Lonchura striata: one gene and its partners. The protein of the gene in region 4 interacts with the protein of the main gene of each other region in a biochemical or structural test. Links are inferred from orthologs where the notes say so. Each region holds a gene or a part of one and is shown on either strand. Other genes may lie near its edges.

Evidence for each region.
Region 1: of the proteins of RIPK1 (region 4) and TNFAIP3, one has a biochemical effect on the other in vitro, tested with the Homo sapiens proteins (2 studies listed by BioGRID). The link is inferred for Lonchura striata from reciprocal best matches to the Homo sapiens genes RIPK1 and TNFAIP3.
Region 2: of the proteins of RIPK1 (region 4) and OTUD1, one has a biochemical effect on the other in vitro, tested with the Homo sapiens proteins (2 studies listed by BioGRID). The link is inferred for Lonchura striata from reciprocal best matches to the Homo sapiens genes RIPK1 and OTUD1.
Region 3: the proteins of RIPK1 (region 4) and CRADD form a complex in vitro, tested with the Homo sapiens proteins (2 studies listed by BioGRID). The link is inferred for Lonchura striata from reciprocal best matches to the Homo sapiens genes RIPK1 and CRADD.

The regions. Positions count from the first base shown.
Region 1 is NC_134605.1:51,071,913-51,080,101, reverse strand, and holds the start of TNFAIP3 (tumor necrosis factor alpha-induced protein 3), read right to left. Parts: upstream 3,234-8,189; 5' UTR 2,879-3,233; intron 1-2,878. UniProt on the Homo sapiens protein: Ubiquitin-editing enzyme that contains both ubiquitin ligase and deubiquitinase activities.
Region 2 is NC_134603.1:139,206,449-139,214,572, reverse strand, and holds the start of OTUD1 (OTU domain-containing protein 1), read right to left. Parts: upstream 3,057-8,124; 5' UTR 3,046-3,056; coding exon 1,774-3,045; 3' UTR 1-1,773. UniProt on the Homo sapiens protein: Deubiquitinating enzyme that specifically hydrolyzes 'Lys-63'-linked polyubiquitin to monoubiquitin.
Region 3 is NC_134607.1:53,676,066-53,684,207, forward strand, and holds the start of CRADD (death domain-containing protein CRADD), read left to right. Parts: upstream 1-4,919; 5' UTR 4,920-5,056; intron 5,057-5,460; exon of another isoform or gene 5,461-5,542; intron 5,543-8,142. UniProt on the Homo sapiens protein: Adapter protein that associates with PIDD1 and the caspase CASP2 to form the PIDDosome, a complex that activates CASP2 and triggers apoptosis.
Region 4 is NC_134603.1:94,905,308-94,913,006, reverse strand, and holds the start of RIPK1 (receptor-interacting serine/threonine-protein kinase 1), read left to right. Parts: upstream 1-4,243; 5' UTR 4,244-4,324; intron 4,325-5,112; exon of another isoform or gene 5,113-7,699. UniProt on the Homo sapiens protein: Serine-threonine kinase which is a key regulator of TNF-mediated apoptosis, necroptosis and inflammatory pathways.

The DNA of each region.
Region 1 (8,189 bases), on a different chromosome or scaffold from region 4:
TGCCTAAAACAAGTATAGAGTGGATGCAGCCTTTCATAAATAACTTTTTTTTTTAAAGCTCATATTCACTAACTTTTCTGCATTATTCAGATACAGACACTGATCAGCTTATCCCACTAATTTGCTGATATAATTTACTGTGATATTGAAGAGGATTTATGCATAACTAAGGAAATTGCATCATCATTCAAAAAAAGCAATTAAATAAAAATAAGGATAAGAGAAGACAAGATTGAAGGAAGGGAAAATTATCCTGGAAACTTAACTAATTGATAATTGTACACTGTAATCCCATATGCACTTGCTAAATTTCAGGACATTTCAAGCTCTTGTTTTGATAACATGCCAAAAAAAAAAAAAAGCAGTTAAAGACCATTTCAGATTCTACAGCTCATACATTCTGAGTAGTGATGGTCAGTAGAGTACAGAAAAAGCACAAATAATTGCAGGCTGTGCTAGTATCAGTCTCATACTTACAGTGGCCAGATATGGTAGATGAGGAATTTGTCACTCGAGGACAGGCTTAGGTTACTTTTCTTGAGGCTCTTTTTATTTTGTAAGTGGTAGAGCTATGGCTCAGAAGTGCTTATGCTGGTGTGTGGGGGTGCAGTGCCACTATTACTCAGTGGTAAGTCAACAGAGCATTTCCATTTGGCTCAAAACCCCCTATATATTTCCACAGTAGGACATGTAATGTTTGCTGCTCTGCATCCCTTTCTTCAGTAACTCTGGCCTCATGGGGTATAGCAGGAAAAACAAAAAAAGAAACCCATAACATCTCAAACTTGCTACACTCAAAGAAATCCTTACTTGAGGACACTAACTTTGTGGCTAGTTAGAGCCAAACGTACAGACCACATCCCTCAAAACCCCTGTCCACTACAGTAAGAACAAAAATAACAACAATAACCTGTTTTTACAGGGAGAGACTCTCCATGCTGTCCACAAACATTCTTGCTTTGTTTAAAAGCAAAGCAAAGTTTGTGTCAAGACAAATAAAAGTATGCATGCTTAAAATATTTAGAGTACAACTAGTCATATTAAGAGAATCCGCCACTGTGATTATGAATCTAAGGACAAGTATCAAGTCATATATATGTGTATCAATCTCTGGACATCAAGTACAGGGATACAAGAAACAACCAAAAATTGTTTATGCCACTATTAGGACGTTTTCTCATGGAGACTGGAGTCACGGAGAGAGGAAGAAGCCTGACAAGACTGACCAGGAAGGCATTCCCACGTCTATGGAGGCAGAAGACCCCTCTTGCACAGAAGGGCTTCAGGACCTCCTTCCCCACAGGTAAACAACTGCTCTCTCCTCTTCACCCAGACACCTCCATTGGCAACATCCACCTCCAAATGCCCAGCCAAAGCTTTTGAAAAGACCCTCTCAGGGTGAGAGGGGACCTCAAACTCCAGGTGCCAAGAGCTGAGCTCTATAACCTCTCTGAGAACCAGCTGCTGGAGAGATACAGGATAACACGACAAGCTCTAGAGGCAGATGAAACAGGTGATGCTACAAAGCCCAACTTTAGGGTGATGTCATTCACATGCCCTACGAACACTAGGGACCGTGTGCAGAGCTGTCACATCTTGCAACATATGGAAAAGCTTTTCTTTAGGGAATAAAGATGGCATATTCTTATCATTCCCCCATCAGCACACAGCCTTAAAATGAAAATTGTGTATTTTCTCATCCACTTTCCTCATAAATATAGTTTTACACATGCTATTTATGTAATCCTGTATTTAAATGTATGAATGTGTCTAAAAAGGAAATATAAACAACTCCTTACTAAACTGTGTAATAACCCAGCTCTACTTTGCTCTGAGACGACTAAAATATTGAATTCCTTACTTATGTTAGTAGAAATATTGAGTCAATGGGATTTTTTTTACACTAATAAAGACTAATCACATGACTAAGCACTACCGGCATCACCTCTTGAAATGGTTATTTCCAGCATTAAGTAACAAAAAACACTGAGTTTACAGAAGCAGTCACTGAAACTACATTATTCGATACTATGTTCTACTAGCATTTTTTCCCCTCCACACGTGGAAATTACTGCCTGTGCTATTTACAGTAATAAATGTGAACAAAGGCAAAAGCCAAGCAACACTTATTTTCAAAATCAATGTGATGAAACAAACAGAATTCAACTGACATCTAAGCTGGAGATTTAAAAGTAAAAAACTAACCTACAGTTTTATTAGTTTATAGTCTACTGTGCTTTGCTGTGTGCTATGCTACTTTAACCTTCTCACAAGTAATGACTAGGAATTCCCAGAAAGGAACAGCTGTAAACAATAATTAGAGACAGCATCCTTTCCAAAGGTGTAATGCTGAGGATGCTGGGCTCTGGAAAGAGGAATACTGTTCTGAGATCTGCCGATGGTTTCATAAATTATTTTCATTTTCTGTCCTCTATCTGAAAAACGGCAAGTAATAAACTTCTCCATAAAGTGCTACAAGTGCCTGTGCCTTTGCTCGGCACAAACCAAAACACAGTACTACTCTTTGCCAAATCGGAAGGCGAGGAGCGAGGCTCTTTTAAAGATCCCACAGCACTGGTTTACACGCAGTAAGTGTTCCGCGTTCTTGGTTCCCTGACCTACAACTCCGCTGGGGGCTGGGCGTGCAAGGCGGCACGGCCACGACACGGTGCAGCTCCCAGGAGAAGGAGCCCGGAGCTCCGGGGCGGATTTCCCCGCGGCACCGCAGCACGCTCGGCCGCGCCGTGCCCGCTCTGCGCGCCGGGCCGGGCACGGCGGGCACAGCGTCCCCGCCCGCGCCGGACCCGCCTGGTCCCCGAGGCGCCCTCCTGCAGAAGCGCTCCGGGCTCCGCCGTGCCCTGCCCAGAGCGGCGCTCACCTCTCCGCGGACGGCTCCTCCTCCGGCCGATCCTGCCGCGACTCCTCTCAGCAGCGAGGCTGAGGCGGTGGGACGCAGCCGCGCCCGGAATCCATCAATCCCCACCGCGCCGGAGCTCCTTCTTGCCCTTCTCTCCACCCTCTTCCCGCCGGAGCTGCTGCTGCCGCTGCCGCCGCTGCGGAATGAAGGGCTGAGCCCAGCCTCTTGTTTTTTTCCCTTTCTGTTTAAGCGCCTGGGTGAAAAAAAAAAAAAAAAAAAGGCAAGCAGATTGAAAACACAACACAAAAAACCCCCACCGGGGATTTCCACCGGCAGAGCACAGGGACTTTCCGGCCTGTGACAACACCCGCGGCCGCCGCCGCCAGGGGGCGCCGCCGCCGGGCAGTCCCGGCGCCTCCCCGCCCGCCGTGACTCACCCCCGGGATTTTCGGGAGCCGGGATGCCGTGTCTTCCTTCCTTTTTCCTTTCCTCCCGGGCAGGGGCTTGCCCATCCCGTCCCGCAGGCTTCGCTCCGCTCACGGGCCGGCCCGGTGTCGCGTCGCTGGGTCCGAACAGCTCCTTGTCGCCGCGCAGAGCGGCGCCCCGGCGGTGCCCCGCAGCCCTTCCGCTCACGGGCACGCGTGGCAGCGCCTGCCCCAGCACGGACGGAGCTGTGGGGTGCGGGTGCTCGGGTGTAGCTGCCCGCATCCCTGCCCCAGCATTCCAGCAGCACGTTAAGGGGGCCCGTCCCATGGAAAGTATTGTTCTTCCAGACGGTTTTCAGACCCAAGCAATTTTTTTTTTGTGGGTGTTTTTTTTTTTTTTTTAGCTTGTATGTGCTCCACCGTTTTGGCTCTGTATTGTACGTAACCACAAGTGACTTCATTTCTTCAATTAGAGGTTAGGCCGATATAGAACCCCATAGTCCCAATCTGCTGGTATTTTCGGCAGGAGATGTTAATTGTGTTTTAATTTGGCCCTGCTCAAGGTCAGATTGTTGCAGGTAAAGACCAGAACCGTGGGCTAAAACTATCAAGTTGGGGAGATCTTAAGTGTCTGAATATGATTGTAATTTCTTGACTGCAACTAGTAATTTATAGGAATCATTAAAATTAATTATTGTAAACAATGCACACCTTTAAACAATGTGCTAATATTGTGAAATATTAGCAGTGAAAAAACCTCACTAAACAAACCCCCCATATTTAAGGCCTGTTAATATGATTTATGGATGGGATGTATGCTGGAAAAGGGGCAGTTTCTAGCTCAACAGCCTTACAATCTGAAGGCACACAGAAATGAAATACAGTTTCTTGCAGGATTAAAACACTTCATCTTCCCAGATAATGAGCTCTTGCCTGTTCCTGAGTATCCACCTCTCCCAGTGGCAAGATGAGAAGCCAGGGTTGCTGCACACCTTGAAATCAGGTGTTAAATATAGACTCCTCAGAGAACAGGTGGATTTTGGAAGAGTTCAGCTTTGAACTCCTTCACCTCACTCCCAGTAGCAGCAGCTGGCTCAGATCATTTGCTCATGTCACACAACAGGCTTATGTGGCAACATGATCTTTCCCAGGGTTTACAGGCCTGTGCTGGCTCTGCACAGCAGCCCATCCTTCTCCTCTGCCTTTGTTCAAAAAGAAGTCAGGGATATGGCCAGGAAAAGAATAATCCCTTCCAGGTTTCTTTTCCTCCTCTCCTCGGATAATTTTCTTTTAAAGGTTTTTGTGGGTGTGTTATTTTTTCTTTTTGTTCCCCTAGCCTCTCTATTGTCTTGGAAAGTATAGTTGGGTAGGAAGGCTCCACATTTAATGATTGATAACCTGAAGGGTGGCTAAAATCCAGGGAACTGGATGCCTGAGGGAACTGGGCTTGCATAACTAGGGCAGCATCCCTGCTGTGATTTATACAGTATATATTTCTGTCAGCATCTTACCGGTTCCCTTCTCCTGGACATTTTCCCCTGCTCTCTCATTGGGACTGAGGTAGCAGATTACTGAAGTCATCTGATTAGAGGAAAAAAAAAATGTTTCTATCAAAACATTTCTCTCACATAATATGAAGCCCAGCCCCCGACAGAGTTTTACAGAGAGTACTTCAAATGATGGAGGGCTTCACTGTTGAGTAGGAATGATGAGCTAAGGTAGGGAGTAGGGAAAAAAGAGCTGAGTTGTACCCTGCTTTGTATAGGAAGCTGCAGCAAATAAATTAACAAGTAGACCTAGCCATGATGGAGATGCTGAGACTCAGGAAAACCTGAAAAGGCAACAGCTTATTTTTGGTTTCTAAATGGTAAGCGTGTCTGAATATTAATAATTACTGTTTACACCTTGATAAACTCAAAGTTGATTGCACATTGCTAGAGCAGATGTTTATCAAACAGGTCTGAGCAGGATGGCAGGAATTCATTTGATCTGAGTTTGCACAGCACAAAATAAAGTTCTGTCTTGTCAACCATAACTCCTCAGCAATATAGGAATACATTAGAAACATCAGCAACATCAGTAGTTATAGAATGCATGAATATACATTCCTCTTTTCTGAATGACTCCTGGGTTTTGTTTTTTTTGTAGCTGTACCCTATAGTTTATCTCATAATTTATAGTAAAATGTTTATCTTTCATTAGATATAAACATAGAGACAGATGTATAAAGTCAAGGAAAATTTTCTTCTTTAAAGTGCGTATGTAAATACGCACATATACATACACATAACTATGTACATATGCACATATATTTTTAGGTATATATGCATGTCTGTTTCTCTTGAGGGAAGAGGGAAGTTCTTGGTATTAAGGACAGAATAAGAAATACTTTCATTTTCAGCTATCTACATTCTGGTTAAGCATAAGGGTGAAACAGTCCACCCTTGTAAGTGGTAATGTTTACATAACCCTGGAGAAAGCTGTCACTGGGAATTGCAGAATATCCATTTTTTGTGAAAATTTAAGTAATCAGTTTCATGCACATAAATCAATAACAATTCTTTATTGTACTTGGGAAAAAAAAGAAATCTCTCAAGGCCCCATTCAGCTCTATATCTCTAAATTATTTTAATTACTTTGCTTCTTTTTACTGTTCAGGAAGGAGTAGTTCCCACTCACTAAATTAAACCAAGACCTCAGAGTGTTCAGAACACCATTGCCAAATGTTTGAGAGGCTGCACTAAGAAAGACTCATAGTTAAGATAGTACTCATATAATATTCAATGCTAGGATGATGACTATAGTAATATTTATGCATAGTGACATACAGACTTTTAATAATTCAATCATTTGCTGTGTCTTTTAATATCAGATAATTCTGTATGAGGTGTGATTCATCTAGAAGGGAGGAAAAGGATCATTAAAGGGAAATCCCTTTTAATGCAAGAGCAGTGCTTGAGGTCATGCTTGAGTTCAGCACTTCTGTCTTCCAGGAGCTGTTCCGTTGCTTCTTTTCCTGGTGGAAAAGTGATAAGAGCTTGTCAGTGCAAAGGAAAGAGAGGGGGGAATATCCCCTAAACATTTATCAGACAGAAAGATGGTGCTTATTACTGAATCAAGTATTGACGGTAAAAAAAACAAACAAACAGAACCAAAAAACCCCAAATCATGTCTGCCACTTAGATAGCAAGAGCTGAACTGGTTTTGGGATTTTTTCCATTACACTCATCTGAATCCAGTAAAAGAAACTACAGATTCCAGAGAAGAGGTTTACCAGGGTATTCTGGCAAGTGACTGTACTGGAACTAGGGATTCTTATTTATGGCCCAGGGGGCCAAAGCTTCCTTTGCTTTTTTTTTTTTTTTTTCCCTTTTTGTTGTGTGTGTGCTTATTTTCCCCTTCTTTTTAATATTTGTGAGAGAAGTGTCAGAAGTAAAGGTCTGGAACTGCAGTGGGTTCAAAGAAGCTGAAAGTTCAAATCTTGCCTTAGCCCCTTTTGTTAACCTGAAGGTTAAGCTGTAAGCGTGGTATTCCCCCATTAAGGCTGGTGAAGCACTGTGAAAAATGAGCTATGGAGGCAAGCACTAGACATTTTTAAGAACAGGTTTTTTTACCTGTAAGGGGATTAAGTATGGCATTAACCACACCGTATACTTACCTCCTGGTCTGTAAATAAGTTTCAGCAATGTTGTCTGTGAAGTGCATAAAAAAGTTTAAGCGATTATGATCTTTGTAACTTGTTTTTTATTCCTCTGATATCTGTAGATACTGCAGCAACTCTCAGGGCCCCTAAAAACTGCAGACATAGCTATGTATAGTTGCATTAGAGACAGCAGCACAGTCCAGCGTTACTGACCCTCTTCAGTGCACAGTACAGACAATTCCAACAAGGCGCCAGCAAGAAATAAGAGGAAGACCAATATTATTTCTGTTTTGGAGAGCAAAGTGATTTCAGTAGATTTTGATGCAGACTCAGACTAGACATGTGGCTAAACTGAATATGTACAGCAGTAGTAAGCCAAATCAAAGGTCCATTGACCTCACTGCCTTGTTTCTCACAGAGGTTGAGAAACTGTCCAGGAAAGAGCATGGAAATAGGCTGGATTGTTCCCAATACTTTTCCATCCTGTGCTTTGTCACAGTTTCTTGTGGGATTTCTTGTGGCTTACATTCTGGTACCTCAGTTTCTGAGTGGTATGGTAAGTTTGTGAATGTTTCTTTTCTCACACTTTTCTGTTATCATGCATATTTAACTTTGACTACAGACTCTTTAGAATAGATTGTTTATTTGTGTTGTGTTTCCTGTACTTTAACACCTAGACACATGGTTATTTACCATGCAGTGTGGTCTCTGCTTCCAGAGAGTCACCATCCATGTGTAGCAGACTTCATTTAACTGTGAACTACTACTGTCACAATAGTCTTTGATTTAGGTTGAGGGTTGTAAGCATAAAGCACTGCATAGATAGCACTGCACAGGGATGTCTTTGCTTTCCAAAACTGCCTTAATGCATAGTGCAGTGGCTGGGTTTAGGTAGTACAAGCCCAATCATTGCAGCTTTTAACTTGATCTTTAGGTTGGCATGACTGGTGTGCTGCCAAAATGTCAGCCCACATCATGGGAGGGGACTCTAAAGCAGAGTCTGCTTCTGGAGCTGTTTGCTTCAGCCATCACTTCAGCATTCATGAGTCAGCAAGTGGTTAACAAATAAATAGCTAAAGATAATGCCTCATGTGAAATCAAGCAGGGACTACTGTTATTTTCCTTTCTATATTCCTATCTGATGAGATGATCAGCTATTCTAACTTTAGGTATGAAGTAAGCATTTAGCACAAAGCTATATCCACTGGGAGTGGATGGGAAGGAATGCAGCTAGCAAATGCTTACTTAATTAAAACTCTTACTC
Region 2 (8,124 bases), about 44 Mb from region 4:
CATTTTGAGATCAGGGACTGATTTGTAAACACACGTGCACTTTTCTAAACATGTTTAAACAACCTGGAAGGCATTTCCATCTTGCAAGGGGAGTAGAAAGCTGTACCTCCCTGTAACATTACTGTGTTTGAGTAACAAGAGGGTGCCAAGGTATCACTACTGACAGGACAAACCTCGAGCAAGTTTGGGGCTAACTGCAGAATGGAGGTTCCCAAAGACCAATGTCCAAGCCCACGTGTGCACAGGCCAGCAGAGCTGGCTCACCACCAACCCTGGCACCACGAGCTCACAAACTATGCCTGAGAATTCCCCTTCTAAGGCATATTAATATAGGAAATGGTTTCTCACTAGCAAACACATATACTAAGATCTCTTGCAGTAAGAAAATAATTAGATATTTAATTGTCTTTAAATGCCTGCATTTCTTTCACATATTAACAGACACCAGAATTATCAGTGGTTTACATCTGTAAAGTACCACACCCCTTCTTCCCACCTCTCAGTAGGAGAGACTAAGGCAGAGAAGCTATAAAAGATCCTGTGAACCCACCCGCAATTCTTCCCCACACCAGGAATGCACAGGGCAGAAAAGAAGAGCACAAGTAAAATTATATTCTTTATTCATTCCATTTTAGCTGTGAATATTCCTATTATACAAATACAGTATAAATTCCGAAATCACAATATATTACAAAATAAAAAAGTACAAACTGCATTACTTAATAAATATATCTAACAAGTTAATCAGAAAGTAGAAGAGACAGAATCCAGATTGGAGACATTTAAATGTTTGACCCAGCAAACCATACAAACCTCAATTTAAGTATTTTTTTTCTTTTAAACCATAATGTAGAATACCATTCCTGATTTCTTGATTAGAAAATAAAGTCACGTGAATAAAATGTTGTGATCAGATAATGACTTGTTGGTGAAACACCAGTGCCAAAAAAGAAGCAGGGCTTATACGAAAGACACCATAGCCCCAGAAACAAGAACACAAACACTGAGGTGCAGCCACGGCAATTACTGCCAAAGCAGGAGACTATTATCTAGTCACAACATTCTATTGCAAGTTAATGTTCTGTTATTATAGATAAATAATGTAAGTGGAGCAGAGAGTGAGCCAACCAGGCAACAAGAGGCCAGTCTACTCAAAACAGTAATTAAAAACAGAAGAGTCAATTGCTCCCTGCACTGTTCACGTGTAGCTGCATTCCAACTGGCTCAAAGGACCTATTCTGTGCTCCAGGCAGAGAAAGCAATTGTTCCTAAAAGCAGTCTGTTCTCATTTTGCCGCACTTTTAAAAACACATTTTCATCAACTAGGGGGGTCAGTTTGACATCAACTTCATTTGGTAAAAATATAAAGTTTATGGGTAAAAAACACAGCAAAAAATAGCTGTTACATCATAAGCCTTATTTACAAAAACTGTTTACAAACGTTTTTGGCTGTACAGCTGAAAGCCAGATACTAATGCAAGATGTAGAAGATGGAGGTAACAGTTTAAAAATAGTGTGCAAAAAATACATTCTCATAGAAAACAGACAGTGGGGAGGGGAGACACAAACATACACGGAGAAATCTGCTTGCAAATAACCCGAGGCTAAGTTTTTACAACAGAATATTACAACTACGTCTGTATTTATCCCCCCGCAACCTACAGTCTTTGTCCGTCTGGGGTGCTGCTGCTTCATTAAGGATTAAGGCATCACCATCACAGCGAGCACACCTCTCTGTCAGTCCCTGCAGCGAAGCTCCCGGCCCAGGCGGTCTCATGAGCAGGCATTCTGCTCAATGTACATCTTGGACAAGGACACCGCCATGGACTTGGCCAGCTCCTCGTCCCGCCTGCGCTGTACCTGAGTCTGTCTGCACCACGCCTCGTACTCTGGGTTGGGGCACACGCGGTCCAGCACAGCATCGTAGTGCCCATTGCTAAGCCAGCTCAGCCAGATACTGGGCCGCGTCGGGTCCTCGGGCCCCAGGTAGTGAACCATGGTGGAAACGGTGGGGCTCTCGGGCCGGCCGCCCGTGGTCAGGTGGATGTTCACGTTCAGCATCTGCCCCATGGCCAGCAGCTCCGGGTAGCCGGCCCAGGCCCCGTCCTGCGCGGCGGCGATGAGGAACTCTCCCACGTCGCCCTCGATGATGGGGTTGAAGTGGTCCAGGTGGTCGGCGATGTAGTGCACGGTCTGCTCGCGGAGCTCGCCGTGCAGCCGCTGGTCCCCGTACACCGCCTTGCAGACGGCGCGGTACAGGCAGTTCCCGTCGGGGATGATGTGGAAGCGGAACCGGCCCTTCTGCCGCAGGTACTTGTCCTGCTTCTCCACCTCGGCCAGGTACAGCGCCAGCTTCTCGCTGCGCTCCGCTCTGCCGCCGGGCGCCCGCCGCACGTCGGGCCCCGCCGCCTCCTCCTGCTCGGCGTGCGCGGGGCCGCCGCTCCGCTCCGCGGGGCCGCAGCCGGGAACCAGCCCGGGCTGGGCGCCGGCGGCCGCCGCCTGCAGCGCCTGGCAGTGCTCGCTGAGCCGCAGGCTGCGGTTGCTGGGCTCCTCCGCCGCCTCGCCGTCGCCCCCGGCCTGCCGCACGCTCTCCAGGATGCCCTCCAGCCAGGCGCGGCTGCGCGGCGAGCCCGGCACCAGCTCCGCGGCGGCCTCGGCGCGCTGCACGATGCGGATGGGCACGATCCGCTCCAGCGGCCGCCGGCGGCTGACGGTGACCTGCGCGCAGGAGCTGAACTGCGGGCCGCCCGCCGGCCGCCCGGCCGGCCCCGCCGCGGGGCCGCTCGGCATCACCTCCAGGCAGGACGAGAAGGCGGGCATGGCGGCGGCGCTGCTGCTGCCCCCCGCGGGAACGAAGCTCTCCTTGCCGGAGCTCTCAGCGACCGCGTTCGGGCCCGCGGCGTCGGCGGCGCTCGGTGCCTCCGCGGCGGAGGGTCCCGGCGACAAGGAGACCTTGAAGACGGCGGCGGAGCTCGGCGAGGCCGCGGCGGCTGCTGCGGTGGCGGCCGCCGGGTAGTGGGTGATCACGGAGCTGTAGAGCTGCATCCTCGGCTCCCCGCGGGCGGCGCTTTATAGGCGGCGCCGCCGTCGCAGCCGGGGCGGGGAGCGGCGGCGGGGGCCGCGCTGGGGCTGCCGAGGAGGATGAACCGCCCGAGTAAAAATAAACAAGGGCATCACCGCCCGCCCCGCCCCGGCCGGGCCCCGCGGCCGCAGCAATTCCGACTGCGCCACCGGCGCGGCCCCCCCGCGGCTCCGGCCCTTCTGGAAGCTGCGGGAGCGCGGAGGGAGGCGGGGCTGCCCGCACGTCAGCGAGCGCCGCCCTGCCCCGGCCTACGTGTGCTCGGTGTCACGGCTCCTGCTCTGCGGGGCGGGCACGGACAGAAGTCATTGCATCCATTCCGTCTGGGACAGCTCTGGGCGCTGGCTGCTGTTTGCCCACCTGCAGTCTCACCCTGGGAAATGCAGTACATGCATGCAAAGGTGCGTGGTATAAACCGGCACATGTTAACAGGAGACACACGCTCTGGAACATGGGTCTCATCAAGAACATTGATAATTGTTTTATTAACGCCGGTAGTAGCACTTTAAAATTAAGCCATGTCTTCTAGCCTTAGCTGCGGTATAAAAAAAGTCATAAAGCCTTTGTCCAGGGACAATGATGACATCTGTACGCTCTCCATTTTGACTGCGTTCTGACTGGCATGCTGACCAAGAAACACCAGTTTGCACTATGATCACATGCTAATACAGACAGTCATTCCTAACAAAATGGGAAAAAAGGTATTGACATATGTAAGTTCAAAGTGATAACTTAAAAACAGTTCTGGATTCCATCTCACAGCCTCATGTATCTTCAGGAAAGTTTTAGTAATCCAAACAGATTGTACAACTCTAAAAACAAATAAACAACAACAAAAAAAAAACCTTTATTTGGATATTCTGAAAAGTTTCTTTTCCTCGTTCCATTTAATTCCATTAATTAAAAAGGCAGAATAAGAAGATCAGTTGCAATATACTGCAATATCCAAAATCATTTTCTTTGGAGCTTTGGTTGTATTTTGTATCAATGTTTAGGGATATACTTCCTATCCTCGGTCTCTGCAGTTAATTCCAGGGCAACCAGTAACACAATATGGAATTTCATTCTCTTTACATGGAAAACATATTATGACTCACTCAGCTAAATTGCATATTGGAGAAAAAATGCTCAAATCCTTCATACAAAGTTATGTGGATATTTATGGGAAATGTTTTCATATTTATCTTTTTTGTTATGGATAAGACACAGCAGTTTATTGCATTCAATATTGAGAACTTTTTTGTAAAATTTTACAGATTAAATACATATCCAAAATTTTTGCCTTCAAAGCTGAAATGTAAGAAGTATATCTGATAATGAATCAAAGTTCAAATGTCCTCAGTTACCTGACAGAGCCAGCCAAAAAGTTGATATCTTTAGAACAAATGGTGATGGGCCTTATCCAGGAGCATTTCTGGCAGCCTGTTAGAGTGGGATAAGATATTACAACTGCTCTGAAATTACAGGGTGACTCTTGTATTTCAGAATGTTCAGAACTTTGTTTTAAATATAGTTTGTGAGCCCAGTCAGTGAGTCTTTATTTCTGGACTAATCATTACTTAGAGGGGAATATATATTGACCAAATAGCAGTAAATTGAAATCTTTCCTTCTTGAAATGGAGGCTTGGAGCAAAGGAAAGATTCTTGTCTAGTTTTATTTCTTAGTCAAAACTTGGCAATGTCTATATTCCAAGTTCACATGTATATGCTGATATATATACTGATAGGAGATTTAATGTAAAACTACTGGAAATTGCCCCTTCCAAGTGGGTTTAAAACATGCCAGTTGCTCTTCATTGTGTGTTTGGTCATTTATCAAGATGTAAAATGTATATCAATGCTGCCAGTTTTTTGCTACATTTTTTTTTTTTTTCAGAAAAGCTATCTGTAGTTTGGTTTAGTGAATGTTCTGTCTGCTAGTAAATGTCAGAGCTGAGTACAGGGTGGTGGTTTAAAGTCTTCAATAGTCTGGTAACAGAGAGAGGGGAGGGAGAGGCAGCTCTTTCTCTTACAGAACAGTAAATGGATGCAGCAGACTAAGAGCACTTCTAGCAGGAGCAAGTGCTGCATTTTGAATGCTCAGTACTGCAAATTTCTTTCTTCTAGGATATAGAAACTCCTGCTAATGACTGTTCTGCCTCTCCAAAACCATAGGTTATTTGGAACAGTGGTACATTAGTGGGTGGGCAGCTGCTTAATTCTGATTGTTGGTTACAGTGAGGTATGACTTGAAGTTTGTGGTGCTTCATTTGAGGAGAGAAATAGTTTTTTTTATGCCCAAATTACCCTTGTACTAGTATTCTGATGCTCTAATGTAGAAGATTCTGGGTAAGAAAACTTGTTTATCTGAATAGAAATCCAAAGAATATCCTGAAATACATGCTAAATATGCCAGCAGGTTTTTGTAATGGTAGCAGATAGATTTTCTTTTTTTCAATTTTTGCTTATAAGCAGACATAATGTCTTTCCTAAATTTTCAGTTAAAATGCACATAATAAGCTTACTAATAACCTTAAAATACAAACAAGATCTGTTGCTAGGTAACAGAGAGAAAAACAAACATTGTAACCACTGCCTTGATGTTAATAGTATACTACTTTTGATATCTTTATTATGTCCTGTGTGAAGTAAATGGAAAGAGAAGCTCACCTTGGTGTGTTTTACCTGTGTTGTTATTAAGTACTGACAATGTAATGCAATCAACATTTTTCATAACTGAGCAGCCAGAATTAGTCACACATTCTTGGCCAGAGGGGAATCCAGTCTCTCTGGATGACCAGTGACAAAAATCCCATTGAGCCTCTGCCACACAAGCATCTCATGGTTAGCTTTCAACTCTCATACTAGGAGTTACCAGGAATCAGCACTTCCTAAAGGTAATTTTCTTAGATATCTGACAGGTTTTAACAATAACATCCTAAACCATGGTCTACACCAGGGAGTAATCACAGAATGGCCTGGATTGGAAGGAATCTCAAAGATCATCTAGCTCCTGGTCACATTCTGCTAGACCAGGTTGTTCAAAACCTGGCCTTGAACACCTGCATGGAAGGACATCCACCACCATCAGGTGCAGGACCGGGAATGATCAAGTGCTATGAGTACAATTCTGGTGAAATAGAAATTTCAAAAAAATATCTGAATGCCTTTAATGCAATAGGTCTCTATAAAAGCCAGGGGCACATGGTTCTGACTTTGGTACCTTTTACTACCAGAATATTGATCTTTAACATTTCTTTCAGCTACATGTAGCACTGCTGTTAATTCCAACAAAAAACTAAATTTTCCTTTAATATGACCCAGCTAAAACACAACCCATGTATCGGTTACTTCCAGAAAACTCCTGTATTTCCAACTTCTGTCCACTTTTCCCCATAGGTCATGGGCACACGAGCACTAGAGGTGTTTGGAAAGTGAGGAGAACACACTACGGACATACCCTTCACTGTTTTCCACAGAGTAATATTCCTGAGCTTCTGATTCACTCATTACAGGGTAATGTAAAGTTCTTTGCTCTTACAGAATAGATCTCAAAACAATCTCTGCAGTAATAAAGTATAAACATCTCCCGTGGTTAAAGTTTCTCTTGACATTACTGTTATCACTGGTTACCCTGCACATTCCAGGAATAGTTTAGATTGTTTAGAAGGCAAACCACAATCACAAAAACAGCTGTGGAACAACAGTGGTATTCACTGACGTAAAATGAAATGCATGAGAGTAGAACTAATTTTAACTTTAATGTGTAGTAGATACATGATTGACATAGAAGAAACAAATTAATTACATCACCAGGAACATTTGCTAGTGAAGAAAGAAGTTGGTTAAAATTATGTAGAGAATTACACTGAATTAGCCTTTCCATTTTTTTTTTGTTTTGTTTTTGTTTGTGCTGACATAACAGCCCTTCAGATAAATATATTTCTGACTGAAGTATTTCATGAATTAATAACTTTTTGTATGTAGCTGGGAGATGAAATGTTGAATTTATATTAATAATCTGAAGTGGTATACCAAGGAAAAAAATTTGTAAATTATTAGAAAATAGAAAAATATGTCAAGAATCTTCCAATACAGGGAAGAAATGCCTATACACTTCAACTAGAAGGAACATACTGAACAAAACATCAATTTCATCCTCTGTTGCCTCCAGATTATCATATATATCGTATCATATCATATCATATCAATCATATCATCATATCAATCATATCATATCACACCACATCATCATATCATATCATATCATATCATATCATATCATATCATCATATAATTTCTTTCATTAAATTACCATTTACAGGTAACATTTTTGGGGTATGGTCAGTGAATCTATAAAGATGTCACAAGGCAACAGAACTGCCAAAAGAACCAATTCTGCCCTTTCCCGTTCCCAGTGTCTTTTTTCTACTCCTGATGCCACCTGCTTTGTGATGGCCTAAGTGTTAGTATTAACTAAAGCACCTAGTGTATTTCACCCTAAATGTTAACATTAAAAGGAGGAAAACTATATCCAAATTTACACTGAGGTGTGAAAATGTTGCTTAAAACAAGGGCTATGTCTCAGAGATCTTTGCCTCACAATTTGTTGTTCAGCTTCTGCATATATTAAAATTTTATTCACTGTATGGGTGCACCAGGCATTAGAGATGCAACCAGTGCTATGACATCATGTGGCAAGAGCTTGTGGAAAAAGGGCTGTTGGTGATAAGTATAGACATTTGCTCATGTCTCAAGGGCTCAGTTGGCATCCCACTTGATAAGTGAGTCTCTAAATGTGAGTGATGACGCAGATCAAGCCTCACATTTCTGCTCAGAAGTTGAGATGGCAGTTTGCAGTGATCATTGTGCACAGGGCCTTAAGATGAAACCAGGAAAACAAACAGGGGGTGGGAATCAACAATGCTGTTTCTTCTGAAAAAAAAAAATAATAATGTGGTAATAATTTTACATAAACAAATTTTATAATGTGTATGATGTTTAGAAATGTTATCTTCTCTATTTTTATAAACCTCATGAGATATAAAAGTATTCACAATGGCTAA
Region 3 (8,142 bases), on a different chromosome or scaffold from region 4:
TGAATTTTCTTTGTTCTCATATTAATAAAATGGTGCTTTACATTTAAAAATCATTTAGTAAGTCTGGAATAAATAATAAATAATAAGAGGCTTGCAGTATTTCATCCGTCTCCTCAAAGAGTCTTTAAATTAAACTTAAAAATAGAGAACTACATTAATTCATATGTTTAAAGGACTACAAATTCTGAGAAATACTGAGTCATGTTTTGCAAGTATTAATTACACTTTTTTTTTTTAATTCACTGGATTTTTTAAATGAAATGTATACAAAAGTTTTGCAGTGGATGCCTGCTTCCTTTTTATAATTATTTATCATTAAACTTTTTGCTAGAGATTATTTGTATCATAGTAAAAAGCACTAAGAATTCATTGCAGTACTGCTAATAAATACTTATTTTTATTATGGAAACAAATGTAAATGTATAGACACTACAGAGTCAGTTTAAACCCTATGTTTTAAGATGCTTTAGAACTTTCTGTGTTATATTTTACCCACGTGCTGGACGTGCCTTTTAATAAAATACTACTTTCAAGGAAGTTCATGACGTGTCACCTATATTTTATAGTAATTCCTCTCTTTGATCTGCATTGAATTTAAAGTCTTTATTATTTAAATGAATGAAAGTTACAGAGTATCAGAACAATTGCACAGCAGCCCAAGGGCCAATCCCTTTCAGTGATGTGCTTCAGTCCTGCCTGTCATCTTTTTTTAGGAAGGATAAGGAATCATTTTTCGAGTAGCAAAAGCCACCTGAAGAGCTTCTCAAGAGCACCCCTTCCCATCTGAGCATCTAGTGCCCTCATATCCTGCCAGCATCCAGCACAGCATGCCTAAGATTTGGTCTACAGTTTGGGGAAACTTTCTATACCAAACCCTTCCCTTCCTTGGCATCAGCCAGGTTTTCAGTGACTGGCACAGGAGATTTGGATGTTAGCATTACAGAGGCCCACGGCTGCAAAGGGGAGTGCAATGGGGACCAGGGGAAGGAGGAAGAGAAGAGGGGGGAAGGGAAGGGGTTACTGCCTGGGATAGCAGTGGACAGCAATGGTTTGCAAGACCCTCATCTGGCCTTCAGGCCACCTAGTTTGGCTCACCCTAACTTACATTTTAACACTGTTTTTGAGATGCATGACTTACAGAAATGTTCACTGCACTCTTTCATAAAACTGACAGGCAAGCATACAAGATGTATTTCTCTTTTCCCTTAATTTCTGAGGTTTTGTGAGAGATTTAACCAATTAGATGTGCTTTTAATAAACAAATCTAGAGGCTCCTATTTTTTCTCTTGTCCCTAAAGCTGGAATGCTGTCCTGCAAACAATTGAAAACAGCACAATCCTAATACATTAAATCTGCTTGTGCCAGTTTTAAGAACACATTTGGCCTCGTTATCAGCATAAAACAAACTAGTCTGTAGAAAACAAATTACACACATGCTTAGATACAGCTTGACTCTAATTAGCATAAAGGATCCTCTCAAAAGCATTTAAAAAATCTCATTATTCTGGTACAGTTTCTAAAAAGGTTTGTGACTTTTAAGTGAGCTTTTAAAAGGTGCATAATAAATGTAAAAATCTGGCTTAACTTACATGTAAAATGAATAGCATTGCCAGAAGAGATACTGCTTAGCTTGGCTCCCAAAGATTTGGACTTGTGACCCTGAATTCAGCAGTCCTTAAAAGTGTGGCCTGATGAGCACCGATGGCCCCTCAATCTGCAGAACCAGACAGCACAAGCTTTTAAGACTAAAAGTCTGAGGATACTGATGCGGAAGATTGACTATAGTCCATTGATCATTGTATTCTAGGAAATAGTTCTTTAATCTACATGGTTAGCTTTGAGATTTGAGCAGTTAGTGGGGCATTGAATTGACACCAAACTGGCTAAAATATATATATATGTATTTATTTGTCCTTAAAACTGAAGTAGAACCAAACCATGTCTCTGAAGTTTTGTTGAACTTGGACCAGAAGTGGAAGACCTTTAGTGAGGGTTGAACCCAAAATGGACTGAAACAAAGAATTTAAGGACTTCTCTCCTTGGATTTAAAGTATTAACTCTTTGTGTCTTTATCCTGTACCTGTACTATATAATCAAAAGCTGTCTGTGTTGCTAAAGATGAACCCAAAACACAGTAGCATATTTAGTTTCCACTAAATAAATTTGCAGCACTAGTTATTAACTAGTGGGGGGAAAAGGAAGGGCCAGATTTTCCCTTAATGAGATTTGGACCTCTGGTGCTGTCCTCTTCCTTCCTAGGCTTATCTCTTTCCTTTCACTGCTTTCCTTCTTTCTATCTTTGTTCAGACTGCAAGCAAATACATGACTAAATGCTGACTGTATAACTGCTGTAATTTCCTTGAATGAAATCTGGAGTCGCTCTATGCATATCCATATGTTTTGCTAACTTTCTAAGACATTCTTGGATAGTATAAATTTAAAAAATCAAATTGCCTCATCTGGCAAAAGGATATAGTAAATAAAGTGATGTAACTGCTTGTCCTAATTTTCTATTTTAAAATGCAGCCACATTATCTGCAATTAAAAGCAGCTGTCAGGATTGCAATGATGAGATTTTCTGAAGCCTCCAAGTTTGGTCACTCCAATTCCAGATATAATACAGACCCTTAGATCATGACAGAAAGAAAGAAAAGGAAGTAAAGAAAAGAAAGGAAAGAAAGGAAGAAAAAGGAAGAAAGGAAGGAAGAGAGAGAAAACCAGCAGCACTGACAATCAGAAGTACAAGAAGCTGGGACAGGAAACTCTCAGTAGCTATGCAGTGCTCTGTTGAGGAACAATCATACAGGCAGTTTGTGGTGTCTCTGCTCCCTGGAGCTGTGCTGTACTGTTTGCAAACGTATCTCCTCACAACTAGTATTACAAACGTTGTGGCAAGAAAATTTAACACCACCTCAGTTGTACTTTGGCTACAACAGCAGCATACTTCTTGGAGTTACTGATGATGATGACTTACTTGTGTGGCTTCCAGTGTTGTCAAATATGTTAATGCATTGCTCTGAAACAACCCAGAGGAGTATTTAGATTTTTTTATATCTTCATTCCTAGAAGACTAACATGTGCCTGAGACAAAAAAAATATTTACCTTGGTTTACCAGCTGTATTGTAAGAAGATATTATTTATCAATTATTCACAAGCAATTTAACCCCCTGTATCCAATTTATTACTTATATATAATTATAGATAAAAGTGTTATGTCATGAAACCAAAACACTGCTTTAAAACTGCCAAATAAGTAGCATCCCTGCAGAAGCTGGCCACATGATATATGTATCTATATTTTTAAAACATTTCTTAAAACCAGCATACAAACTTTGCCTTTAAGGCTGATTTACATTCTGTGTCCACATAAATTTTCAACTGTCAGCCACAGGAAAATCAAAGGAAAAGGAATTAAGATTCCTGAGTGTGACTGCCTATCTTTATGCAAAATCTTGTAGATAAATATAATGTTAAGCATAGGCAGAATGTGAACTCTACTCTTGGTTACATTTTTCCATGGCAAGTACAGTACAGTACAGTTTCCTGGGTACAGTATCTAGGAAAGGCATGTAAAGGTTTCCACAACTAGCTTCCAACTACCCTTAAATATTTCAAATACCCTTAAATTTGTACAATTAGTCTAAACAGAGTGTACAAATGGGGTTCACAAGGTGACGACGTTTCTAGCAGCAGCTGCAGCAACCACTTTTCCTGCTTTTCCAGAGGGTAGGTATTAGCACGCTGTGCAGACCACAGCCAGCTTGCTGTGCCTGCCTGCAGCTTCAAAGGTAGTACGTTCCAGCACTGGAAGATCTTTTTTTTCCCCTTTCATCACTATTGCGGTCCCGACATGAAAGAAAAAGGGCTGACACCATCAATCCCGTGTGACACCTGACACCTATGCAAAGACGGAAAAAAGTTATTTCATGATGTGTGAGTGAAAGTGACACCACCTCATTTTTACAGCTCTGTGAATCACACTCTTCTCCTCTCTACCATATTTCGTTTCCAGGTATCCATATAAAAATAAGTGAATAATACACTATTCACTAGTAGAGGAATAAAACAACAGAATGTCCATAGCATTGTGGTAGACACAGGCCAGCTCTTAATTTAATAAATTATTTTCATCTATTAAAAGATTCTTCATTTTTAAGCTGTTCAGATGAAAGTAATGAAGCTAAATGTGTCCATTATTCGATATAATACTGCTCTGTGTTTGATACGACGATGCCAGCACCAGGATGAAGTTCAGCTTAGCGCATACTCACAGATAGCAACCAGTGTACCTAGGGAGTAATGAGATCAGCTGTTTCTAATATCATTAAAACTGCAATTTCGTAATTCCGAATTTAATTTTGGATACAACCCCTCTCCTCACTAAACACCCCCACCACCACCCTGACTCCTGATAGCGCAGCAGGTCCTCCGAATTCCTGGAAAGGCACCTCCTTGGCGGAGTCACCTCCCGTCCCCGCCCCGGCCCCGGCCGCGGCAAGGAGCAGCGGCGGCAGCGCCGGGCCCCTTCCAGCGCTCGGTCCCGGCCCCCGCGGCTGGCACTGCGGCCGCTCGGCCCCGGCCCCGGCCCCCGCGGCTGGCACTGCGGCCGCTCGGCCCCGGTCCCGGCCCCGGTCCCGGCCCCCGCGGCTAGCACTGCGGCCGCTCGGCCCCGGTCCCGGTCCCGGCCCCGGTCCCGGCCCCCGCGGCTAGCACTGCGGCCGCTCGGCCCCGGTCCCGGCCCCGGCCCCGGTCCCGGCCCCCGCGGCTAGCACTGCGGCCGCTCGGCCCCGGTCCCGGCCCCGGTCCCGGTCCCGGCCCCCGCGGCTGGCACTGCGGCCGCTCGGCCCCGGTCCCGGTCCCGGCCCCCGCGGCTGGCACGGCGGGCGCGGCCCCTCCCGCGCTCCGGCCGGCAGCGGCCGCCCCTCCTCGGCCGGCCCGCAGCAGGGCGGCGGCGGCGGCTTCCGGCGGCGCCCTGCTGCCTTCAACAAAGATGGTGCTTCCCGCGCAAGCTCCGCGGGCGCCGGCGCCTCCCGGGTAGCCTCCCGCTCCCCTCGGGTGAGTACGGGCGGGGCGGCGGGCGCTCCCCGCACGCAGCTCGCTTGCCCGGGCGCTGCCGACGGCTGCCCTCGGCAGCGCCTGGGGCGGGAGGGCCGGGGGAAGCGGGAGAGCGGTGCCGCGGGGCCGTTCGGCGGCGCCCCCGGCGCTGCGGGGCCGGGGCGGGGGCCGGGCTTCCGCGGGGAGGCCGGGCCGGGCCGGCGGGGCCGCCTCCGCGCAGCCCTGCCCGGCGGGAGGCCGGGACGGGAGGAAGGCCGGGCGCTGCTGCTGCCTGCGGGGCTCGGGCCGCGGTGCGGGCAGCTGGCCCCTGGCTGCTGCTACCCGAGCAGCAGCTGCCGGCGCTCGGCAGAGAAGACTTTAAAAGCAAAACTTGCCTTTTTTTTTTTTTTTTTTTTTTTAAATTTCCTGGCGGGGTGGGGGGGATGTGTAAGATTTTTGACCTGTAGGCTTGCTGTGAGTAGCCAGAATAATTCATGGGGTAGTCAGGTGAGTGCAGTTGGTGTTCTGGAAAACAATGAAATGTTTCTAGCGGAAAAACTTAAGTGAATTTGCCTTTTTAGTGTCAGCAGGGGTTCTTATAAAAAGTTTTATCCCCATTTATGTACAGTCACTCTGTCAGATCCAGAAAAAGGCAAACTTGATTGTGTTGATGTGGTGATGAGTCAAGGACTGCTCATTCAGCAGGTCATGGGCTATATTTCTTAAAATTTGGCTTTATAATGGAAAAAAATCCATTTTCAGAAGTATCTAGGGAATGTTTGAGTCATCTTTTGCGTAAATGGACATCTCATAGTTTTCATTTTCTGTAAAATTACTTGACTAAATTTAATTCAGAGCTTACTTTGAATCCGTAGATACAGACGGTGATTTAAATGAATTTGTTACTTCTGTGTTGCACTAAACTCTGTCCCAACACTGTTACACATCAAAATCCTGATATATTTCCATATCTAGCTGCTTAGTTCCTAAGTCAGACATTTGCTTATCATCGTAAACACATACAAATACTTTATCTTTAAAAAGACCTCAGAAACCGGTATGCCCCATCCTGGAAGTTTACCAGGCTGATGCAAGGACTTTAAACCCTCTGTTGTACACACTCTGCAGTCAGCAAGGCAAAGGGCTTTTGCAGCAGAAATTCCCCCTTCTGATCCCTGGCTGATAGGCATTTCTCAGTGCCCAAAGGTGCAAACCTTTGGTTTGTAAGATTTATTTTTGAAAAATGTTGGCTGCTTTGGTTGTGAAGAAGAGGAACTCATCAAGTTCTGTACAGTCATCCAGCATATGAGGAGGCTCCTGAATGGGGACTCTCAGGGCCCATTCAGAATATGCAACACAAAAATTTTTTAGTATGTGAAACAGTTTTCTGCCTGGGTTGAGATGACACCCTCAGAGGTGCTGCTGGATGCCTTTCTTGAACTCTGCAAGTGCTTCATGAGCTCAAGGGTGTTCTCCTAGAAAGAAGAAGTGGTAGGATTTACTGCCTGAATTTTGCTGTAGTCCAGAGATTGCTTTCTACAGTGTAAAGGTACTATGTGTTAGAGACCAGAATCTTCAGCTTCAGTGGGAAAAGCCATTTCTCTTTCTTGCCTGCTCTTTTTCCATCTCCTTGCTTGCACTACTGTCTCAGTCCATGATGGTGTTTGATGTTTGAACTGTGCTGGGTAAACTGGCATTTCTTAGGGACATAGCATAGGCATTACAGTGTTTGATTCCCACATGATCCCTAGACAGAAGGTAAGAACTAGAAATTCACTATAGTAGGTGAGAAATGCACTGGATAGCCTGGGAAGGATGGAGTCCTCCAGGAAGATACTTTCCAGCAGTGCTTTTAGCACTTGATGGAAGCATTTTTGGAAAGTAGCTTTGTCAGAGGATATCACAGACAGGGTTTTCCAGTGTCTCTCATGACACTGTGCTCTTGCATTCTGTCCAAGGTGGCATTTACATGCCAGTATGTTCTGTTAGTCACCCTCCTTGATTTTAACAACCAGGCCAACCACACAGTCTTTGATGGGGCTCTGGGAGTCAGCAGGCATCTCTGATGGCAAAAAGACTTCATCAAGTTTCATGTAAAAGCTTTGAGAATTCTGTCTCTTCTTGTACCCTCAAGCTGAATGAAGTAGAGTTTTTGCAAAGTTTAGCGGTTCAAACAGCAGTGCCTAATTTAATTGTGAGAAACCCTCTTGGTAATCACACTCAACACCTGCTGCTATTTTTTGACTTTATTATTTAGTAATGAGAAAGTATTTAATTGTGTTGTCCTGTCATTTTCAAGTGCCATTAAATGGGCTCAGGGATACGTTTGTTGTTAAGAACTAGACTAGACACTTTGATTTGGTTTGAAGGTCTGGCATGGACTGCTGACTTGATCTTGGATGAGCTGCTTGATCTCTCTGGACCCTGATTATTCTTTCATAGAGTGGCTATAAAATGCATCTTGAGCTTTTGTTTAGTCAGAGTGTTAGTCAAGTGAAATGGAAGCTGGCAGAGGGCATCTGATCCCTTCCTGTGAGCACATAAGAAGAGAGGGAGAAAAGCTATTTAAGCTAAAGAACAGTTTTGGCAGAAGATATGCCTATAAATAGAAAGGGATAAATCTGAGATGGAAATTCAAAGAAAGTTTCTTCTCATCAGAGCAGTTGAGTTCTAGAGCAATCTTCCCGGATGATTCAAGGGTGAGAACGACGTGGTACATAAGATACTTTTCTACCCCTCTTAAACTTGAACTGCATCATGTAGGCCAAAGCTACCTGCTGATTCTGTCCCTGCTGCTGCTGTTGCTTCTGCCTGGCTGAGATGAATGTACCTGTCCTGCTGCTGCTTTTGTAATTCTAGCAGTGGTCAGGTGTAACATCTCTTTAATTTTGGGGGATTGTGTCTCTTAAGGACTGGCAAGTGCTTTTGCTGCCTTTAGTATGGATCTTAACCAGTTAATAGGAGGATTATTTGGCACGGGTTTCACTCCAGCAGAGGACTGGTCTTTGCAATGCCAAATGTTCTATTCCTGTCCAGTATTTCCCAGAAATTGCATCATTTTACCTTGTGAGACAGTGAAATCTGAATGGAAAGAAGATAATGGAGAT
Region 4 (7,699 bases):
CCTGCAGATGCACTGTCTGTATATGGGTCAGGATCTATGGGATAAATGAATTGTCTGGCTCTTAATATCCAGGATTTTTACCTGGAAATGTAGCAGTGTTATTTTTGTGCTTTAGAGTTGTTAACCCTGTTTGTGCATATGGCAAGGGGGTGGGTTTCTCACTTAGCTACTGAATTTCTTGCTTTGACCAGCTCACCTAACAGCTGCCTTTGCACTTTGATATTAAAAGACTGTGGCCACTGTAAGAACCCATTCCCTGAGTCCCTGTCAAAGACAACTAAGCCTCTATGCATCTGCCATACCTGCTTTGTGGCAGTCTTATCACACCCCAGCCTTACAGTTCCTTAGGGACTAATTGGATAATAAACATGCTGAACCCAAGCTCTGGAGGCTCTGTGTAAACTGATACACCAGGCTGGGAAATGCCACCACAGGAAAAGGTCAGTCTTCCTGTTTGCTCCCATATGAAGCAAAGGGCCACATTCAACAGAGACATTTCCCAGGAAGCAGAGCTGCCCCAAGCTGTTGCAGATGTCTGCTGTGAGGTACGTGAGCCAGAGTCTTTAGGTTGCAGAAGCAGAAAATTTGCTTTGTCTCAACAGCTTTGTTATAGGAAAAGGAAAGTGAAAAGGAATAAGGAAGAAAGTACTACACATCTAAGTTGTGGAGAAAGCAGATTCATGCCTTAAAGACTTAAGGAGAACAACTTAAAGTTACTGAAAGAAATCTGAGCACAAATTTTAAAATTGCATAGAAGAGAAATCATCCTTCTATTCACTGTGTTCAATTAGCAGACTATTCAGGAAAGAAGGAAATTGAGGTAAAAGCAGAAGTTGCAATGTCAAACCAATCTTACTGCTTGGGATCAATTGCAGAGCTTAGTGGGGTTAACTATTAGATGAAGAATGTCAGACTGACCTGTATGTTGAGGATACTGTGCTTGACACTATCTGGCAGACACATGCCAGCTCCCACACATGGTAGCACTAAGTTTAGTAAGTTGGTTGAGATTTGTAGTACAAAGTATGTGAATGTTGAGATTAATGCAAGTTCAGTTAAAGTTGAAAGAAAACTAATGGGCTTATTAAATTCTCATTAATACTAAAATTGAAGACTTCTGCTCAGATAAATTCATTATTGAGAAAAGCACTAAAAATGTACCAATCATTTTGTCCATTTCAAGAGAATCTTTCCTTCTCCTCTATCAGAATTAAGACATTTCTCTGTAAATTCAGTTTGCATTTCTGGATCAGTTTATTTTCCCTATTCATTTAATGAATTAATGTCAAAACTGGCAACACCAACCTCCAAGCACATACAAATAAATGACAAATAAACCTCTTTCTTTGCATAGTGATTGTTGGCAAATCACCACTGAATGAGACTGACAAGTTTTTAACCAAGCAATTCTAATAAATTCAGCTATCTCTCTTCCCATCTTTAGACCACACCTTTGGCCCCATACCCAATGCAAAGCTAAACAGCAGAAAAAGCAAACCAGACAAACCAACTGACCATAAAAAGGGGAAAAAAAACCCTTAGAAGTCAAATGTAATCCAAAGTTTTCTGTGATGCTTGGGCTTGCAGAAGACAAAAACTGAATAATTGGCCCACCAGAGATGGTGGCCAATTATAACATATTTCATGTCTATATTTGCATTTGCTTTATTTACCTGACAAATGTCCCAGACTCTCTGGACTGCAGGTTCAATAAAGCTCTCCTTGTGATACCTCACAGTGTGGATGGACATAAAATTGCAGCATTTAAACTACAGTGAGCTCAGTGTGACAAGTCAGCATTTGGTCCTGAGTCTCCTCTTTACAGTAAGTGTGATCAGCCCTTACATCAGGAGCTGTCGGAGCATTAAACTCCAGTTTTGTCTGAATACCAGCTAATCCAGCATGGGTGGAAAACAGGAATGTGCTGGTCCTGCATCAATTCTTCTCATTCCACTGTCAACTTCCGTTTTTCTTTTTTTTCTTTTTGCAAAATCCTAGAAAGAAGTTGTTTATTCAGTTTGCCCATCATAGGGCAGTTTCATAATCAGAGAGAAAAGTTCTCCTTGAAAGTGATCACCAAGGCTGTGCTATCTCTCCAAACCCAGGGTCGCCCGCATCGTTCCGTGTCCCACCTGTCTTTCCCATGCGACACCTTCCAGAAAGCCAGAAGGGAGGAGCCCCTGCTCCCAGCAGCCTTGTGTGGGCCAACACAAGGCACAAAGCAGACAGTGCCATCCCTGGAAGAGCAGATAAGGGTAGATGGATGGTTTAGGAGCTCCTATATTGCATTGCTGACCATCAAAGGAAAAAATTTAAAACATAGTTGTGGGCTGATGCTGCCCTACCACGTTGATATGCTGCTGCTCTTCTGTCACTACCACTTGAAAGTATCATAGGGAATGCAACAGTTCTCGAGAGTGGGAAAGATCATGGTAAAGACATTAGACACTCGTTATCACCAAACTTTTCAAAGAGGAATGGCAGTGGGAAGGCCCTTCTGTAAAGAAGCTGTATTAACTACATACCTGACATCCAGAAGAGGCTGAACTACATGATTTACAGTGACTCTTTTGGTTACGTATTCCTGCAACTGTCCCTAGGGCTGTCATCTGTGTTAGTAACTCTGTTGACAAACAAACTCCTGCCTCGGGCCTTCCTGAACACAAAAAAATGCCCACATATCCAGCACTAAATATTCCATAGACAAAGGTATTTCCAACGCCTTGAAGTCCCACCCTGCTCTCAGAATCAATAGCATCAGCAGGTTTTCAAGGCTCATAATGCCCAGAGAGCTCAGGCAGTGACAGGATCATGGTGTGGCACTGATCGGACTGCCCAGATAGCTTGGCAGGTGACAGAGTTACTGTGTGGCACTGATCACAGCCCCCAAACAGATGGACCAGCATCAATGTGTGGCATCAACCCTAGTGCCCAGAGAGGTGAAGCAGAAACAGGGCTACATTGTGGCAGTGATTGAAGTGTCTAGGGAGCACAGGAATCTACAAAGTTGATTCTTGGGAATTATCATAGCGCCCAGAGATCTCAGGCAGTGACAAAGACATGATGTGGCATGGATCATAGCGCACAGAGATCTCGGGCAGTGACAGATTCTCTTGCGGCACCAATCAGGGTGCCTAGAGAGCTGAGGAAGAGACAAAGTCACTTGTTGGCAATTATCATAGTGCCCAGAGAGCTGAGGCAATGATGGAGCCACCGTGTGACACCGATCACAATTTTCAGAGAGCTCAGACAGGGACATATTCTCTGCTGGCACTGATTGTAGTTCCTGGAAGACTGGAGCAGTGCCAGAGTCAAGACATAGCACAGATCAGAGTGCCCAGAGCTAAGGCAGTGACAGAGTCATATTGTGGCATTGACGGGATCGCCCAGATAGATCAACAGGTGACAGAGTTACGGTGTGGCACCTATTGCAATCCCCAAAGAGATGGAGCAGCAGCAGTATCAAGATGTGACACTGATCGTAGTCCCCAGAGAGCTGTAGAAGCAACAAAGTCACTTGGCAATTATCGTAGTGCCCATAGAGCTGAGGCAGTGGCAGAACCATTGTGTGGCACCGACTGCAGTGCCCAGAAAGCTTAGGCAGGGACAGATTCTCTGCCAGCACTGATCGCAGTGCCCGGAGGGCTGGAGCAGTGACAGAATCACGGTGTAGCACGGATCAGAGTGCCCAGAGAGCTCAACAGGTAATAGAGCCACTGTGTGGCACGGATTGGAGTGCCCAAGCATCTCGAGCAATGACAGTCACCATGCAGCAGTGATCGCAATGCTCAGAAAGCTCAGACAGTGAGAGAGCCATGGTGTGGCACCGATTGGGCTGCCCAGATAGCTCAACAGGTGACAAGAGTTATGGTGTGGCACCCATCGCAGCTCCCAAAGAGATGGAGCAGCGGCAGAGTCAAGATGCGACGCTGTTTATAGTGCCCTGAAGGTTGAGGCAGTGACAGGGCCACAGGGTAGGAGCAACTGGTGTGCTCAGACAGCTCAGGAATCCACGAAGTCACTTCTTGGGAAAAATATAGTGTCCTCACAGAGCTGAGGCAGGGATAGAGCCTGTGCGCCACCAATTGCAGTGCCCAGAGAGCCCGGGCAGGAACAGATTCTGTGGCGGCACCGCTCGCATTTCCTAGAGCACTAAAGCGCTTAATGCAGTCAGTGGGCGGCACCCGCGCCGCTTCGAGCCTTCCGAGCCGCCTCCTTCGCTCCGCCTCCTCCGGGACCGAGGCATAATTGAAGGGGCGCTGGGGCGAACCCCATTGCCAGCGGCCCCCGGAGAAGCGGCAGGACTCTCAGAGGCCAGAGCACGGTAAGGCAGGAGCGCGGAGCGGGGGCAGCGCAGTGTCCAGAGAGCTCAGGCAGGGACAAAGTCACGTTGTGGCACCGATCGCACTGCCCAGAGAGTTCGAGCAGCGACACAGACACACGGTGGCTGACGGAGTCAGGCTATGCCACCGATCAGTTTGCACAGAGAGCTCGAGCTAGTGCCACAGTCATCGTGTGCCACCGATCACTGTGCACAGACAGGTCGACAGACGACAGAGGTACCGTGTGGCACAGATGGCAGTGCCCAGACAGCTCGGCAGGTGACAGAGGCAGGGTGTTGCAGCGATCGTACTTACCGGAGAGCTCGACAGGTGACAGTCACGGCGTGGCAATGATCGTAATACATAGAGAGCTCAGGCCGTGACACATTCTCTTGTGGCACCGATCGCAGTGCTCAGAGCTCAGGCACTGAAAGATTCTCTGCAGACACCGATCGTAGTGCCCGGAGGGCCGGAGCAGCGACAGAGTCACGGTGTAGCACGGCTCGGAGTGCCCAGAGAGCTGAGGCAGCGATAGAACCATCGTGTGGCACCGACCGCATTGCTCAGCGAGCTCAGGCAGGGACAAAGCCAAGGTGTGGCTCGTGGATCGTAGCGCCCAGAGATCTCAGGCAGTGAGAGATTTTTCTGGCGGCACCGATCAGGGTGCCCACAGAGCTGAGGAAGCGACACAGTCACTTCTAGGCAAGTATGGTAGTGCCCAGAGAGGCGAGGCAGCGATAGAGCCGCCGTGTGGCGCCGGTCGCAGAGAGCTCGGGCACTTTAAGGAGTCACTGGGCGGCACCCGCGCCGCTTCGAGCCTTCCGAGCCGCCTCCTTCGCTCCGCGTCATCCTGCTCCGGGACCGAGGCATAATTTAAGGGGCGCTGGGGGCGAGCCCCATTGCCAGCGGCCCCCGGAGAAGCGGCAGGACTCTCAGAGGCCAGAGCACGGTAAGGCAGGAACTCCGGAGAGGGGGCAGCTGGACGAGGCCGCGCTGCTGCACCGAAACCGAAACCACGGTGGCGACCCCGCGAGCGAGGGTGCGAAGGGGGGTGACGTTCCGAGGTGAGATGGCCGGCGGCGGTGTTAGCGCCCCGTCCCATCCCGCAGCGCTGCGGAGGGGCTCCTGGGCACGGCGAGCGGGAAGCGCTGGGCGAGGGCGCGGTACGTAGAGAGGAGGCGGCCGCGGCGGCAGGAAGCCGGCGGGAGGAGAAGGGCGATAAGGCAGATGGGCCGACGAGGAACTAGGCCAGAGCAGCCCCGCGTTAGCGCGTCCCGGCTGCCGCCCAGCAGGCGCTTTTGGCCGCGCGAGTGGCAGCGCCCGCGGCGCCCGTCTCCGACAGCTACGGCCCGGCGCCGCAGCCGAGACAGCCTTTCCCGATCCCCATATGGAATGCACACTTTTGTGTCCAGAACCGACTGCAACACCTTTGCACGGGTACTGGCTACTGCACAGATCCCATCCTTTCCTCTTCCCACGCTGCCTCTGCTCCTGTGAAAATTTGTGTTGCATAACACCTTTGTTTCCCTTGTATTGGCTTCTCCTCCCTTTCCCACGGGTTCCTGTGTAACTTGTTGACGATCTGACACAGGTATTGTCTTTGCTATTTCCAAGAGGAAAAAAAAGTGGGGGGGAAATCATTCCTTAGTGAAAAGATGCATCAGCTGAAAAATCTGAGCAGAAGGGAAAGGTTTAGATGGAGTGGGTTATGACATTTACAGCAACAGATCTGAGATACCCTGTTTTGAAACATCATTGACAGAGGCAATATTTTTGTTATCAGCTATAGCAACCCTTCTATTTGTCTCCTGTTGGTCATTTGGGAATACCAACTTTGGCTTCTGTTCTTTATTCCGTTCCATTACTGACTAATAACTCAGTGGCCGCTGAGTTTTGCTGCTTGTAAAGGTGCTAATTTTCTCCAATTAAAGTTTAACACCTCTTAGAAACTTAGGTGCTGGAAGCATCATTAAACTACAAAGGTTCCATGTTTTTTCATATTACTGTGCTAATGTGCTCAGTGCTCCTCCTTAACCAGGCAGGCAGGTCACATCATTACAGATTAGAATTTGCATCAGATCAGATGCAGTTAAAACTGAGCAAAGCACTTTTGAACAGTGATTAGGAATATGACATGATGACCTAATGTCCAGGTTATGATTCTTGTGAATTTATATGCCCTTTAGGCATTAGAGGAGAGGACATAACCATGGTGTTAAAAAGAAAAATGCCACAAACCCATTTAGCACAGTTCTATCCTCTTCTGAAGAACACCAGTCATATTGTTGGACATAACTTCCTCTCTTCTAGCAAATGGTATTCAAAATTTTCATAACACATGTTGGTACTTGGTAAATATGAACCCAACCGAATACAAATGTTCAAATAGTATACAGGAAGAACTGCTTTAAAATTAATCAAGTATACAGATGACAGCTACTTCACAGAACATAAATTAACCACTAGAAGTATGCATACCTTTTGTAAGGGCTGGCTAAATTAAACTACAAAATTTTTATTATCTTAACCACAGATACATAATGCATTAATTGGTGTGTCCTTAGTATTGAGAATACGTATCAATTACCCTGTATTTCAAAGAAGGTTGGGGTGACCCTGAGTCTTTGAGCTTCCATCCTTGTTTTTTTATAATTTGACATTTCAAGCTATCATAAGCCAATATCTCATGTTAAATAGAATAAGTAGTCTTTGCTTTAAAGCCTGGCTAGACATTGTTTTCCTGTGATACTCATTCTTTGAAAAGTTCCCCAAAACACTGGGTTTGAAATAAGTAATTAGATAGAGAGCTTCTATTCAGAGTACCTCATTACTTAATAAGAACACCAAAAAAAAGCAGTAGCATTTTTCCATGCGCAAGGGGGAAGGTTCCCTCCCATCTAATAAAAAAACTTCCCTCTTCTTGAATGTTACACAGCTCACTTCAACAGACATTACAATTTTAAGTTATTATTTCTTTTGAATTTCCAAGACTTTTGGTCATAGTGACTGCATGTAGCTTGATTGGAAGCAACAGGTAATTAACATTGTAAATAGGAACAAGGTTCTGCATTTGTTGCAGTTTTGGGCAGAGATATTTTTTGCCAGGTTATATGGTACTGATTGCCAGTCCCAAGCTATCAAGTGATATCAATGCAACTTTAGAGATTCACCATTCAAAAGTACACATCTTCACACACAAGTCTTATAACTACTACCTAGATGCTTAATTGCTGTTAGCATGGAAAAATTAATATACATAAGTGACTTCAAACTTATTCTTGGAAGGGACACCCAGATAAAGAAGCATGATGTTAGTTTATGCCATGTTTGACTCTCATGACTGAATTTATGCCCTTGTACATGTGACATCCACCCTA